Macaca mulatta: one gene and its partners. The protein of the gene in region 3 interacts with the protein of the main gene of each other region in a pairwise test. Links are inferred from orthologs where the notes say so. Each region holds a gene or a part of one and is shown on either strand. Other genes may lie near its edges.

Region 1 (3,500 bases), on a different chromosome or scaffold from region 3:
CAGATATTCTACCACGGACACTCTGTTATACCCAGCTGCAAAATGAAGTGGTGTAGACTGACGCCCTTCAATGTCTCTGCAGTTGACACTCTGAACAGTACACAGTTTCTGAAGGACAAAACACAACATACGTGATACTACTTCTACATATTCTCATTTCTTGTTTCAAGTCATTTAGTAGGAATTTTCAAAGTGTCTGACTTACTTTCTTGTCTCATTAAAACAGTATTCTCAGAAACTATTTAGTATTCTTTTTTTTTTTTTTTTTTTTGAGATGGAGTCTTGCTCATCGCCCAGGCTGGAGTGCAGTGGCGCGATCTCAGCTCACTGCAAGCTCCGCCTCCCTGTTTCAGGCCATTCTCCTGTCTCAGCCTCCCGAGTAGCTGGGACTACAGGCGCCCGCCACTACGCCCGGCCAGTTTTTTTTGTATTTTTAGGAGAGATGGGGTTTCACCGTGTTAGGCAGGATGGTCTCGATCTCCTGACCTCGTGATCCACCCGCCTCGGCCTCCCAAAGTGCTGGGATTACAGGTGAGCCACTGCGCCCGGCCCTATTTAGTATTCTTATTTCATCTTGTCATTTACTGGGAATCCCTCTGGTCCTCTCATCTATGCCTTTTTTTGTTATTATTATTATTATTATTGAGACAGAGTCTCGCTCTCTTGCCCAGGCTGGGGTGCAGTGGCGCAATATCAGTTCACTGCAACCTCTGCCTCTCGGGTTCAAGCAATTCTTCTGCCTCAGCCTCCCGAGTAGCAGGGACTACAGACACATGCCACTGTACCTGGCTAATTTTTATATTTTTAGTAGAGACGGGGTTTCACCATGTTGGCCAGGTTGGTCTCGAACTCCTGGCCTCAAGGGATCCTCCTACCTTGGCCTTCCAAATGCTAGAATTACAGGTTGAGCCACTGTGCCCGGCCTCATGTATGCCTTTATATTCTACTTTTTCTAAAGCTCAAGGGTAAATTTTATTATTATCTTTACTATATATATATATACACACACACACACACGCGCACACACGTAAAGTGCCAATCATCAGCAAGTGTAACTTGCATTTTGTGGCAAATACACACAGAGTTACATGAGATTACAGTAGCACCAGCATTACCAAGGGGCTTATTAAGAATTCAGAATCTCAGATCTCTATCTACTGAGTCAGAATTTGCCCTTTGACAAGATCCCTAGGTAATATGTAAACATATTAAAATTTGAAAAGTATTCCTTTAGAGCAGTGGTTCTCAAACTTCAATGTGCATTGGGTCCAACCCTCAAATTTTCAGTGTAACTGATGTGGGCCTAAAAATCTCCACTTCTACCAAGTTCTTGGGTGATGCTGATGCCGGTGGCTCAGGAACCATACTACACTACATGGAATGAAATAACCAGTAGAATGCTGATGGTTAGGCCGAACACAGTGGCTCATGCCTGTAATCACAGCACTTTGGGAGGCTGAGGCGCGCAGATCACTTGAGGTCAGGAGTTCAAGACCAGCCTGGCCAACATGGCAAAACCCTGTCTCTACTACTTGGGAGGGTGAGGCAGGAGAATTGCTTGAACCTGGGAGGCAGAGGTTGCAGTGAGCCGAGATCGTGCCACTGTACTCCAGCCTGGGTGACCAACCCAGACTCCATCTCCAAAAAAGAAAAAAGAGAGAGAAAAAAAAAAAGAATGCTGATGTTTATATACAGTTATACAGTCCTGGGGACTGGGTAGAATTAAGAAAGCAGTCAATTTTCTGTGTTCTTTGGTTCAGATGAGGAAGTGTAGTTATGAAAAGTATGAAAGTTTGGGGAAGAAAAGCAACATAGATAATAAATCAGACTGCTTAAAGAGTCAAAAGAATATATTCATATTAGTCCAGGCACGGTGGCTCACGCCTGTAATCCCAACACTTTGGAAGGCCGAGGCGGGTGGATCACCTGAGGTCAGGAGTTCAAGAGCAGCCTGGCCAACATGGTGAAACCTTGTCTCTACTAAAAACACAAAAAATTATCTGGGCGTGGTGGCGGGCGCCTATAATGCCAGATACTCGGGAGGCTGAAGCAAGAGAATCGCTTGAACCCGGGAGATGGAGGTTGCTGTGAGCTGAGATCATGCAACTGCACTCTAGCCTGGGCAACAAGAGTGAAACTCCATCTCAAACAAACAAACAAAAAGAATATATCCATATTAGTAAAAACTCTTTCCCCTTTTTACTATCCTACGCCCAAAGCAGGGATAACCTAAGCTCAATAAAACAAAGGAGCCTGCTATCAGTGGGTTTACCTCAAGGGGTTTAATCACTGTCCTGGCAAAGCTCTTCTGTGCTTCCCAAATAGAGCTGGTGAGATATACAGATTCAGGGCCCCATTTAAGAGATGGTATTTCAGTGGGTCTCAAGTCAGGTCCCTAGAAATGACTATTTTTAACATGTTTACCAGGTGCTGCTTGGGTTTGGTAGTTATCACAGGCCATTCTACTCTTCACCTGTCAGTTAAATTTTGCCCACTCTGAGACAAGTTTTCTAATAGCAGGTGTTGAATAAAGTATCCAGCCTGGTGGATTATCAGTAAACAAACACAACTGAGCACAACAGTTAAGTGTTCATTAGGTAATACGCAGATGTTCTTGTTCCAGTCATTCGTACAGAGCCATCTGTCTAGAGGTAGGTAAGAAGAATGGTTCATGGAGATAAATGTCCATCAAGTGATTTTAAAAGCAGAGGGGAGGGAAGAATGCCGGATACTTGGCACAGGTTTTCCTGAATCCAATGGCATTATTGTGTTCTCTAAGTCCATTTCCTGCCCCCCAACTTCATCTCCTCTTTATCTATCCCCTCCTCTGGACTCCCTCTATCTTTATAAAAACAAAGTTTAGTCTTTAACATGTTTACTAAATATAGTTTTATGTTCTTTAATATATATAAGAGAATGAGCATTTACAATTCTGTATCTCTCCCTGCCCACACACACCAAAAAAAAAAAAAAAAAAAAAAAATCAGCTAATTGCTTTCAACTTAATTTTCATGTCTCTTGGAAAAAAAAAAAAATCAGTTCACAACCTTTTACCTCAAGTGATTTGTATTTCCACAAGTCAGTACTAATAGAAACAAAATCCTCCTTTCAATATCCTATAAGCCTCCTACTTAAGGGAATGAGAATAATGAGGATCAAAATAAAAACATGTCAAATAATAAAACTGCATGATAGTTGCAGTTTTCTGTGAGAAATGAATTAAAAAAAAATCTGAAGTTATCTGAGATGTCTACACAGATAAAACAACAGAAAAGGATCACATGGATTTTAAAATCAATTTGTAGAAAGCTCTTCATTTAAAACGGCAGTGAATAAATTCCCTCAGAGCTCTAGCTCAGAAGAGAACAACACTTATATTTCCTTCTCAGAAAATCTAAAATTATTGACTTTGTGAGTGGGTCTGTTTAAGATTTAGAACACCCTACAGAAATATAATGAAATTGGCAGGGCATGGTGACTCATGCCTATAATCCCAGCAC
Region 2 (3,500 bases), on a different chromosome or scaffold from region 3:
ACTTCAATTCAAGCTCTGCTTTCTCCTCTAGATACAAGGTTTGAAACCTCTCAAGGTCTCATTTCCTTGGTTGTATTAACTAGTGAAATCCTGCTGGCTTTGAAATTACATACACTTTGTAAAATTTATGGAGAGAGTTACGAGACAAAGTGAGCAAACCATTCTGAACAGCATCAGAAAGTAACACTAAATACAAACTGGAAAGCATCTTTTCCTTAAAACAAATAAAACAGAATATGCCCTCTGACAAAACTGCAACTGATGTTTAATATCAGCAAGGATACCTTTTACATCCACTTGGGAGACTTTCTTTTGGGCCTTTCTCAAACATTAGTGAAGAGAGAACTTAATGAAGCATTCAGCTGCTCTGGGAATGAACCTCATTTCTGAAGTATTTCAGATTAAATCATTTTACAGTAAAAATTCAGGGCCATTCCTTCTCCATCCAAAAGATTCCACTTTACCTCCAGAACTTGTTGTTGTTGTCGTTGCTGTCGTAGTTGCTGCAGCTGCAGCCACTGCTGAAGACTGAGGAGCCCCAGTACTAGCTGCTTGAGGGGGGTCAACCACAGCCTGACTTTCTCTATCTCCAGGGATTCCCTATAACAGAATTTCCAAGCTTTAAGATATCCCTTCAGGCAAAATTTAATATTATACAGAGTAAAAGATTTATAGTCTATTTAACATCTTGTCTGATTTTCAAAAGCATCAAACAGACGTCTGCTTCAATTAAAAGTAAAGGATTATTAAGCTGCATGGATTAAAATTAGATTAGAAATGACCTGTGTGCATTATAGAAAAACCCACATTGCTGTAATAATGCAAAGCAGCACTGTCCAGCAGAACTTTCCATGATGATGGAAATTTTCCCTGTGTTGTCCAATAAGATGCCTACCAGGCACACGTAATTGGCGTCAAATCTGAAAAATACTGATACATGTACCTTCTTAAAACTGAACATAACCAAAGGTTTTTGTGCCAGCTATTACTTCAGTTGACTTTTTAACTTCTTAGAAATCTTCATCAGCTGTTACTCAGTAACAAAAAGGATTGAATTTGCAACCCGGGCTTAAGATAATCCAAAAAAAGAGTTTTTGATGCACACTTGACAGTTCTGAAATGATTCCTGGGGAAAAAATATCTAATGGATACAGACCAGGTACACAGCGGTCAGGCAGGAGGATCTCCTCTACTGATCCATGGAACTGAGTAAGTGTCACTCAGAAACTATCTCATAAATTTGACACACTTTTGAATAAAGCGTTTCTTTGAGAAAGTGTCAAAGTATCTCATAAATATGAGCTACTCAAGTATTTCCAAAAATTTAATTTTTCAAAATGCACAAAATTGATCTAAAATAAACTGAAACCATTTAGTTTTTAGGTGATGCCTTTTGTAAGTTTATAGTACTTATCTTTTAAAGTTATTAAGAGCTTAAAACTGCATGCACTAAAATATTTTGGGACATCTATTTTGATGCACATGGTTGATAAGACTTGTCATTTAAAAATTTAAAAAAGTCTTTATCAAGTTCTTATAGCTTTTGAAAAGAAGAAAATAAAGAACCAAGTATTACAATTGAATAAGATGATAAATGCTTCCATTTCCTAATAAGCTAGAAGCCAAAAGCAACAACATATAAAGGATGAAGGGCAACACAGCAGGAAAATGGCTGCATGCATTAGATGTCACTCCAGGCATTAAAACCAATGTTTTTGAATGAGTTCATCATTTCAAACCCTTAACTTAGATGGTCAGTTATTTAAGTGCTAACAAACTACATACAAATTTAGGATCCAGAGGGTCCATCAAATTCTGTTTTATAAAACTAAAAAGTTAATCTTCATTGCTACAGATCAACCTCTATTCTCACACATGTTACATAGCCTCTTATTAGATAAGTGCTCAACATTTCTTCTTTCCACCCATTCACCTTATCTGTTAACTAGTAACAGTTAAAGGCAACTTTTCCCCTCCAGTCTATGAAACAAACAGCAAACATATAAAAAACATTTTAGTTATAAAATGTTTGATGAACTCATGACTCATCTATTTATTTGCATTTGATGCTATACAGCAGTTTTAGCATTTGGCAACTTTGGTAACAATGATTCTTTTTTTTTATACATCAAAACTCCACATCCATTAGATCACAATAACTGATACCGTTGAACTTATGCAGAATTCTAAATCAAGTGTAAATGAAAGCCACTCCATAAAAGCTAATACTTTTATACAATCTGTTTAGGGTATGCACCCCTCACCAAACAAATTCACAACAATTAATTCCAGAATTCCAAAAAAACTGGATAAACTGCCAGCATTTAAAGACACTACTCAAGAAGACAATGAAAAAGTGAATTTAAAAAGATAAAATAATATGCTAAGAAAAGGTTTTGTGAACTTCACATCCAAATGCATGGGCAAATAAATGGTGGAGGCAGAGTACAGTTATGAGGCTTATAACTGACTCTTCTGAAACTAGCCAGCTACCTGAAAGGAATTTTTAACAGAAGTACAACTTAGACACAAAGGACAACCTAGACATAAAGGAATGGGTTAAACTGTGGATTAATTGCCAAAAGAGTTAACTCTAAGATACAAAAAGAGAAACTCTAAGATGGTATTTAGGGCAATTCAGACTTCGATAATACTCCAAAACAGCAGACAATTATAGAATAGAAGATTTCTTAAAAGTTAATTCAATTACTTTAGCCTGTGTCACATCTGTAAAACTAGCAGACTTTCATCTTAATACCAAGTGTTTCAGTCAATGTCCACAACAATCTATTTCTCAAAAACTCCCATTACCGGTAAAAAAAGAAAACCTTATTCAAAAAGTCCCTCAACTCCTACTGACTATAAAAACAAATTCAAATGCTAACGGAACCAGGTAAGTAACATCATTCGTTAAATGCGTGATGTTACATTGGTAACAGAGTGAATCAGAGGATAATGAATTAGATTCTATGATCTAAAATATTTTCCTTAATCCCTTGCAAAAATCTGGGATCCAAAGTTGTCCAGATAAACCAGAAATCTGTACTTATATGTGAAATTTCCCAGATTTTAAAAAGCTCGCAACTTATTACAGATATATACATAGTATAAGCAAAAGAATTTGGCCCGAATTCTCAAGCTTAAAATGTTTGTTCTTAATAATTCATGCACAGTGGTACCTAAAAAGCTACTACAATGCTGGACCACTATATTAAAAAAGGTTACATTTTATTAACACAAAATACAAACATACTAGAAAAAAAAGCACTGTGTATCATCTAGCATATATCATACAGGTGAAGTGGTCCTTTAAAATCTGTTTCTTTGAGATTTTGATCTTAAACAACTAGAATGAAGTAAAGTAAAACATGTTTCTCACCATTAAAAGATACTCCACTGCTCTGTCAGGGTTGTTGAAACTGGCTCTCAGGGCTGCAATTACTTGCTCTCGTTCATAGCCCATTGACATGATCTCAGTTACCATATTCTCGTAAGACTGA
Region 3 (4,158 bases):
AAAAAAACTTACATCCATCTGCAAAATAAAAGTTTAAAAACCCTTGAAAATATAAGAAACCATTCCGACTACCAAAATACAACTATTTACTTAAAATTTAAAAACATATACGTACATACAATTTTTTAAGGTGAGAAGAAAACTGGCTAAAATGTTGGCTATGCAATATACACTACACACCTCTCCTTTTAGATAATCCATAAAGTGTCTGAGTAAAAACAGACTTTCACTTTTGTTTCTTCTAAGTGTGAAGTTCACTTCCTAGTTACCAGTTTTAAGTGCGCTTCCTGGTTACCAGCTTGATGGATTTAAATCTGTCAACTTATTGAGGTAGATGGTTTATTTATATCCATATAAATATTTTTAAATAGTTCTAATATGAGTAATAAAGCAATCGTGTATTAATATGGAAAGCAAACACATTTAAGTGTTTCTTTCGTAAAACAATCTAAGTATTATGGAAGTATAAAAGTTTCTCTAAAAAAAAATCCCCAATAACAATGAAATGATCTAAAACACACCCATACTAAAAATAACATCATAATGATATTTTGAATTAACTACTCCTCCCTTTGTGTGGGGAGGGGATTAATTAAAGTAGGAAATTGGACTTGACAGCCAAGATCACTTTCGTTAACTTGATTCTTGATTCTACAATTTTATGCATAACCTCTGAACCATGCAACAGAGCCTGCAGTTACTTAATGCAGTTCAGTCAAAATCAAATGAAAAAAAAAAAAAAAATCCCAAACTTACAAAGTTCTTCCCATTGTTCAAACTTAGGAGATGTGAAAAATTCGTATTTCTCACTTTGAAACAGACTTTAATATTCAACATTGAAGACAATTATAAACAAATAGTACCATACATATTAAACAGTGCTTAGTATTCACATGACCATATGGTCTTTCGTAAGCCTTAAGTCTTTAGAAACTAAATTTGAAGGTATTCAAAATAGAATAGGGAGGATTAGGAAGTAAACTCTTTTAAACTCTCATTATTAAGTCTTGAATTATTTCACCGTAAATAAAGTGCAGTGTGCAATATCCTTCTAACTTTACCAGTAATATCAACTAACATACGAGTCTCAAAAACTTTCCCAACGTGCCTAAAATAACAATGCACTATCCTTGCTTTCCAAACTTCTTGAGTATCTTCGACTACTTTAAAGCAGTATCATAAAATTCTAAAAATAATCTCAAGGCAAAAATTTAGCAGGCTGTATGTAGACAGCCCATTTTAGAACAGGTCTTATTGCAAAGTCAAGCACAGGTAGAATATCGCTACACCAAAACTACACCAGGGTGGGGCATTCATTACTCACCCAGATTAACCAAACACAACTCCGGTGGTTGATCACAGTAAACCCTAATTGTCCCCGTAATTCCAACACGACTAAGGCACGGTTGACCCCTTTTGCCCAAAATGCTTTTCACGCAAATGAAAAATTTAAAAAAAAAATTAAATTATGGCCAACTACTCTTCAGAATATGGTGCAAGCCATGATAGTGCACTTAAGATTCTGAAAGCAAAGTCTAAAATAGCAGAATGATCTCTCACTATTCACTTTAAAGATACAAAGCTTCACAGTTTTTTTAAAATGGTTTTCTTTAGTGAGTGACCATTTGAATGTGTGACTGATGCAAGAGTAAAGAGTGAACGAAGGAACAAGGTCAAACTTAGGGGACAAAAGATTCCTGGAATAACATGGCCAGAAAGGTTTCCTCTCTTAGAGACAGTTACCATATTGGAAAAAAAAAAAAAAAAAAAAAAAGCAGAAAAGAAGAACTGAAGAAAAAAGGGAAACCTTAAAAGGAAAAGAAACCAAGCAAATCACCTACTTCTAGAGTCCACCTGGTCAACACGCCTGCCCCGCAAGGCAGGTAATTCGATTTTGCTGGAGACCGTTTTTGCAAAACAGCAGGCCTGTAACACTACTACCTTCGAAAGACAAAATGGGTTCAGAAAGGATGACAACTGGCTCTTCTTTCTTATTTAAGGGGAGAGAATAAAGTTTCATTAAGAAGCCACACAGAGCACTGTAGGAATGTGAGGGTCGCTCTCAATACCTGGCACCGTCTGCTACGGGAAAACAATCGGCAGAAGGAAGTGGACTGAAGCCCGCAAACTACACTCTGCTTCCCACACGCAGCTGGGCACTGGGCGCGACGCCCCCGAGGCGATGGGCAGGGGCGGGGGGTGACGGTGGAGGAAGCCGGGGACGGCGGCGGCGGCGAGGCCGGGGCGCCCGGCCGCGGCGGGGGAGGACAGCCCGTCGGAAGGAGGAGTGGGGCCCGCCGGCTCGCGGGCTCGCCTCACCTTCTGCGCCGCGCTCTGCTGCAGCACGTTCTGCTCCACGGTCATGGCCCCCGCGGCGGCGGCGGCGGCGCCCGGCTCCTCGCGCCTCCGCCGGCCCTGGCTGCCGCGCTCCGCCGAGCTCCAGGGAGCGGCGCGGACGGCCGGGGAGGACAGCGCCCCCGCCAGCCAGGCGCGAAGGCGATGGCTGCCGGCGTGCGCGGGCACCGCGGGCAGGCGGCGAAGCGCCGACTGCGAGGGCCACGGCGGCCGCCCCACGTCCCCACGCGGCCCGCCTCAGCGCCGCTCGTCCGCGGCGGCCCGGGCCATGAGCGGGCGGAGGACGCCGGGGCGCGGGAGAGCGCGGGCCAGTCAGGCGGCGTCACGCGTTCGCGCGCTCCTTAGCTGGCGGCTCGCGGCTCGCGGCTCGCGGGCCGCTTTAGGGAAGGGAGAGAGGGGACGGAGGGAGCGGCCGCCCGGAATGGCGCTGTCCTCCTCCCTCTGTGAGTCCTCCTCCCTCCCCTCCCCTCCCCTCCCCCACGCGCCGTCCCCGCCCCCGCCCAGCGGCTCCTCCCCCGCAGAGCCCCGCCCGCCGGCCGCCCTAACCCTACATTGTGACCCTCCGGGCGGCGGGGCGGGGCGGGGCCGCCATGGAGCCCCGCCCCTCCCGGCGCGGGCCGGCGTTCCCGGGTGGGGCGAGGGCGCGCCCGGCTGCCCGGCCAGGGAGCCGCCCCTGCGGCAGGTTGCGCGACGCTGGCGCTGGGCTTTGCGAAGCGCGGCTGGAGGCCGGAGGGCAGTGTTCCTGCCTGCGCCCAGGGCTTGTCGGATCCGTAGCTTGCCCAAAGCCTCCAAAGCAAACACTTCCCTGCATGCCCATAACGTCCCAAAACTACCTAGGGTCCCGAACTGCGGCCTCTTTCTGTGTCACGCGTTCTCTCCCCTCACCTTTCTAGGAATTTCACAAGCCTTGAACTTGCCTGAAGGGAAAAGTCAAATAAGCAAAGGATTGCCAGAAATCTTTATGCTGGGAAGTACGTTTCTCCTTAACTAATCATTACGTAAATGAATATAGACATTTTCCATCTACTTCATTCATTCGAATATGTGTCAGTCACTGCTAGGCTCTGGAAAAATAAAGTTTATTTTCCCAAGACTTAATATAAATGAAATAGGATATATGTAGCAAACAACCTTACAAAAATATCACTGCCTAGATGATACATAATTCTAATATCCCAGTTGCCAAATTAAGCAAACAATTAACTACCATGCATGGAATACTTGACTATATATGGAATTGCAAGGAAAACCTAACATTAAGAAAGCAATCTCTAGCCACAAAAATATCTCGAGTTCCAGGAGCTAATCTGGGAACGGAGGTGAGAGTGCAGCAGTGTGGGGAAAGAAGTTATCAATGCATATTGTCACAAATAGAATACACTTGAAAATCCTGGTATAATTTTTAATCCAATGACAAGGAAAGCAAGCTTGGTAAATGCTAATTGAAATAGTATGTGGTGTTATTTAATAATCACGGATTATAGTAGCTCTTAAGGCTTTGTAACAGTTATGTGCACTTTACATCCATCTTTGATCTGCAGCTCGAATGTCTTGAACCACCTGTTGTCATCTTTTCCTTGAATCTTCATATGTGTTGACTCATTTGATATTTAACAAATTGCAAATCTTATTATATTAATATCCTACATCTTTTCCAGAGGAATTGAAAAGTCCTGAAACGGTTGGAAACAGAAATTTAGGAATACTGTCACATCTCTAATCCCATGTATCAATTTTTTTATAACTCTGAAACCCAAGGAGGGTGACCTCTTAAAGAGAGCTTGTTAGAACCCATTTTTCTTC
Region 4 (2,351 bases), on a different chromosome or scaffold from region 3:
AAAACCTGCCCTGAAGAGCCTTTGGGTAGTGATTCTAGCCACTAAAGGCTTCCCACAGGAGGCTGGATGTGAGTGGTGGGTGGGCCTCTGGAGGGCAGGGCCGAGGCCTCATCTGTGTCCAGCCAGGGCATGGAGGAGGGTGGCAGCAGGAGGTCTGTGCATTAGAACTAAACAGGACCCCTGACAGGGAATTCCTGGGAGCCCCGAGCCGGAACACGGTTCTGTCCAGGAGAGCCAGGTATCCGAGCAGCCGGCCACGGAAGCAGGTGGGTGTGCACGTGCTGCATCTGCCCTCCAGGTACCTGACTCACATCACACTCCACCCCGCAGTGCTCCTAGGAGCCCGGCATGGTGTCTGACTGCACCCCTTCCTACTATCAGCAGGAGAGAACCCCCTGGAGTTCCTGCGGGACCAGCCCCAGTTCCAGAACATGCGGCAGGTGATTCAGCAGAACCCTGCGCTGCTGCCCGCTCTGCTCCAGCAGCTGGGCCAGGAGAACCCTCAGCTTTTGCAGGTGTGATCCCAAGGGCAGAGGGAGCCATGGCAGCCACCATTTTTGTTCCCTGTGGGCACCAGAGTCCATAACATGTAGGAATTGTTCTAGGCCTGGAAAGCAGGACTAAGCACATGCTTCCCCCACGCCCCCATGCTTCCTGTGACCTGTTGATCCCCACGGTTTCTCAGTCTTCCCAACCGTCTTGTGAGATGTGGGTGCTGTCAACATCACCTCCCACAAAAGAAGACACCAGAAGCTTAGAGCAGCCTGTCATTCCCAGGGTCATACAACTGGTAATGTATGTGTCTGCCTGCTGCCTCAGGGTCCTGGGCTGGGGCTCTGGCTCTGGCTCCACATACAGATGGTGCTGCGTAAATGTCTGTAAGGTGGCATGACATCACCCAGGACAGCTGTGCCCCAGTTGGCTCTGGGATGACTCTGCTCTGTGAGGCTCCACCTTGCCCTTGAAGGTTCACAGGAAGAGTGGGGGAGTGACCCCCCAGCTGCAAGCAGGTTCCTCTGGGTCCTTGGTGAAGTGCCTACCGGTCTTGGCTCAGGACCCTGCTGTCTGCCCATTCTCCTCACTTCTCAGTCCTTTGCCGGCTCCTCCTGTTCGATCCTGTTCTTCATCTGCACTCAGCCCTCCCTCATAATGTCCTGGGGCCTTCAGTCTGTATGGGAACCCCCACATCTATGTAGCCAGCCCAGGCCTCTCTGAATGCCACACTCCATGGCTGGCTTAATCTCTCCATCAAAGTGCTCTCTAGACTAGACTTCTAAGACTTAGAACAGACCTCCTCAGTCCTCCCCAATCTCTGCAAGGACTAGCCTGGGGTTGCTTCAGCCCCAGGCCCTGGGGACCTGCTGGGGTCCATCCCTCGTCCTGTCTGCTCTTCCCACTCAGCGCCTCCTGCACTCCAGCTCCCTGGCAGCCTCTTCCTGGGCCTCTGCCACCGCACAGTCCCGCAGTCCACTTTCCATCATGAGGCAGATAACTGAAAAGCACTTTCTGCTTTAATGCGAAAATGGTCAAATGTAGACAATAGTAGAGTTGCATGAGAGCTTCCAGATACCCAGGCAGGGCACAGTGGCTCGTGCCTGTAATCCCAGCAGTTTGGGAGACTAAGGCAGGCGGACTACTTGGTCAGGAGTTTTAGATCAGCCTGGTCAACATGGCAAAAACCTGTCTCTACTATAAGTAGAAAAAGTAACTGAGCATGGTGGCAGGCCACTGTAGTCCCAGCTACTCGGGAGGCAGAGGCATGAGACGTGCTTGAACCCAGGAGGCAGAAATTCCAGTAAACTGAGATTGCCCCACTGCACTCCAGCCTGGGTGACAGAGTGAGACTGTCTCAAAAAGAACAGAAACAAAGGCCGGGCACAGTGGCTCACGCCTGTAATCCCAGCACTTTGGGAGGCAGAGGCGGGTGGATCACGAGGTCAGGAGATTGAGACCATTCTGGCTAACATGGTAAAACCCCGTCTCTACTAAAAATACAAAAAATTAGCCGGGTGTGGTGGCGGGCGCCTGTAGTCCCAGCTATTGGAGAGGCTGAGGCAGGAGAACACCGTGAACCTGGTAGGCAGTGCTTGCTGTGAGCCGAGATCGCGCCACTGCACTCCAGCCTGGGTAGCAGAGCGAGACTCCGTCTCAAAAAAAAAAAAACAGAAACAAAAATGAACAAACGAACTTCCAGATACCTAAACCCAACACCCAGATGAGTTCACTTTTTTTGGTTTGGTGGCTGGTGGGTGGGAATAGAGACACAGTCTATGTTGTCCAGGCTGGTTTTGAACTCCTGGGCCCAAACAGTCCCTCCTGCCTTGCCTCCCAAATTATTGAGGTTACAGGTG

Evidence for each region.
Region 1: the proteins of USP25 (region 3) and TNKS2 interact in a two-hybrid assay, tested with the Homo sapiens proteins (2 studies listed by BioGRID and IntAct). The link is inferred for Macaca mulatta from reciprocal best matches to the Homo sapiens genes USP25 and TNKS2.
Region 2: the proteins of USP25 (region 3) and RAD23B interact in binary tests that used the Homo sapiens proteins (3 or more experiments, as listed by UniProt). The link is inferred for Macaca mulatta from reciprocal best matches to the Homo sapiens genes USP25 and RAD23B.
Region 4: the proteins of USP25 (region 3) and RAD23A interact in binary tests that used the Homo sapiens proteins (3 or more experiments, as listed by UniProt). The link is inferred for Macaca mulatta from reciprocal best matches to the Homo sapiens genes USP25 and RAD23A.

What each region holds. Positions count from the first base shown.
Region 1 is NC_133414.1:103,814,807-103,818,306, reverse strand, and holds part of TNKS2 (poly [ADP-ribose] polymerase tankyrase-2), read right to left. Parts: intron 2,984-3,500; exon of another isoform or gene 1,609-2,983; intron 786-1,608; exon of another isoform or gene 247-785; intron 109-246; coding exon 1-108. UniProt on the Homo sapiens protein: Poly-ADP-ribosyltransferase involved in various processes such as Wnt signaling pathway, telomere length and vesicle trafficking.
Region 2 is NC_133420.1:51,071,076-51,074,575, forward strand, and holds part of RAD23B (UV excision repair protein RAD23 homolog B), read right to left. Parts: coding exon 3,380-3,500; intron 601-3,379; coding exon 465-600; intron 1-464. UniProt on the Homo sapiens protein: Multiubiquitin chain receptor involved in modulation of proteasomal degradation. Binds to polyubiquitin chains.
Region 3 is NC_133408.1:31,981,323-31,985,480, forward strand, and holds the start of USP25 (ubiquitin carboxyl-terminal hydrolase 25), read right to left. Parts: upstream 2,801-4,158; 5' UTR 2,365-2,800; coding exon 2,320-2,364; exon of another isoform or gene 2,070-2,319; intron 1-2,069. UniProt on the Homo sapiens protein: Deubiquitinating enzyme that hydrolyzes ubiquitin moieties conjugated to substrates and thus, functions in various biological processes including inflammation and immune response.
Region 4 is NC_133424.1:13,515,844-13,518,194, forward strand, and holds part of RAD23A (UV excision repair protein RAD23 homolog A), read left to right. Parts: intron 1-187; coding exon 188-266; intron 267-381; coding exon 382-515; intron 516-605; coding exon of another isoform or gene 606-668; exon of another isoform or gene 669-685; coding exon 686-790; exon of another isoform or gene 791-1,783; intron 1,784-2,351. UniProt on the Homo sapiens protein: Multiubiquitin chain receptor involved in modulation of proteasomal degradation. Binds to 'Lys-48'-linked polyubiquitin chains in a length-dependent manner and with a lower affinity to 'Lys-63'-linked polyubiquitin chains.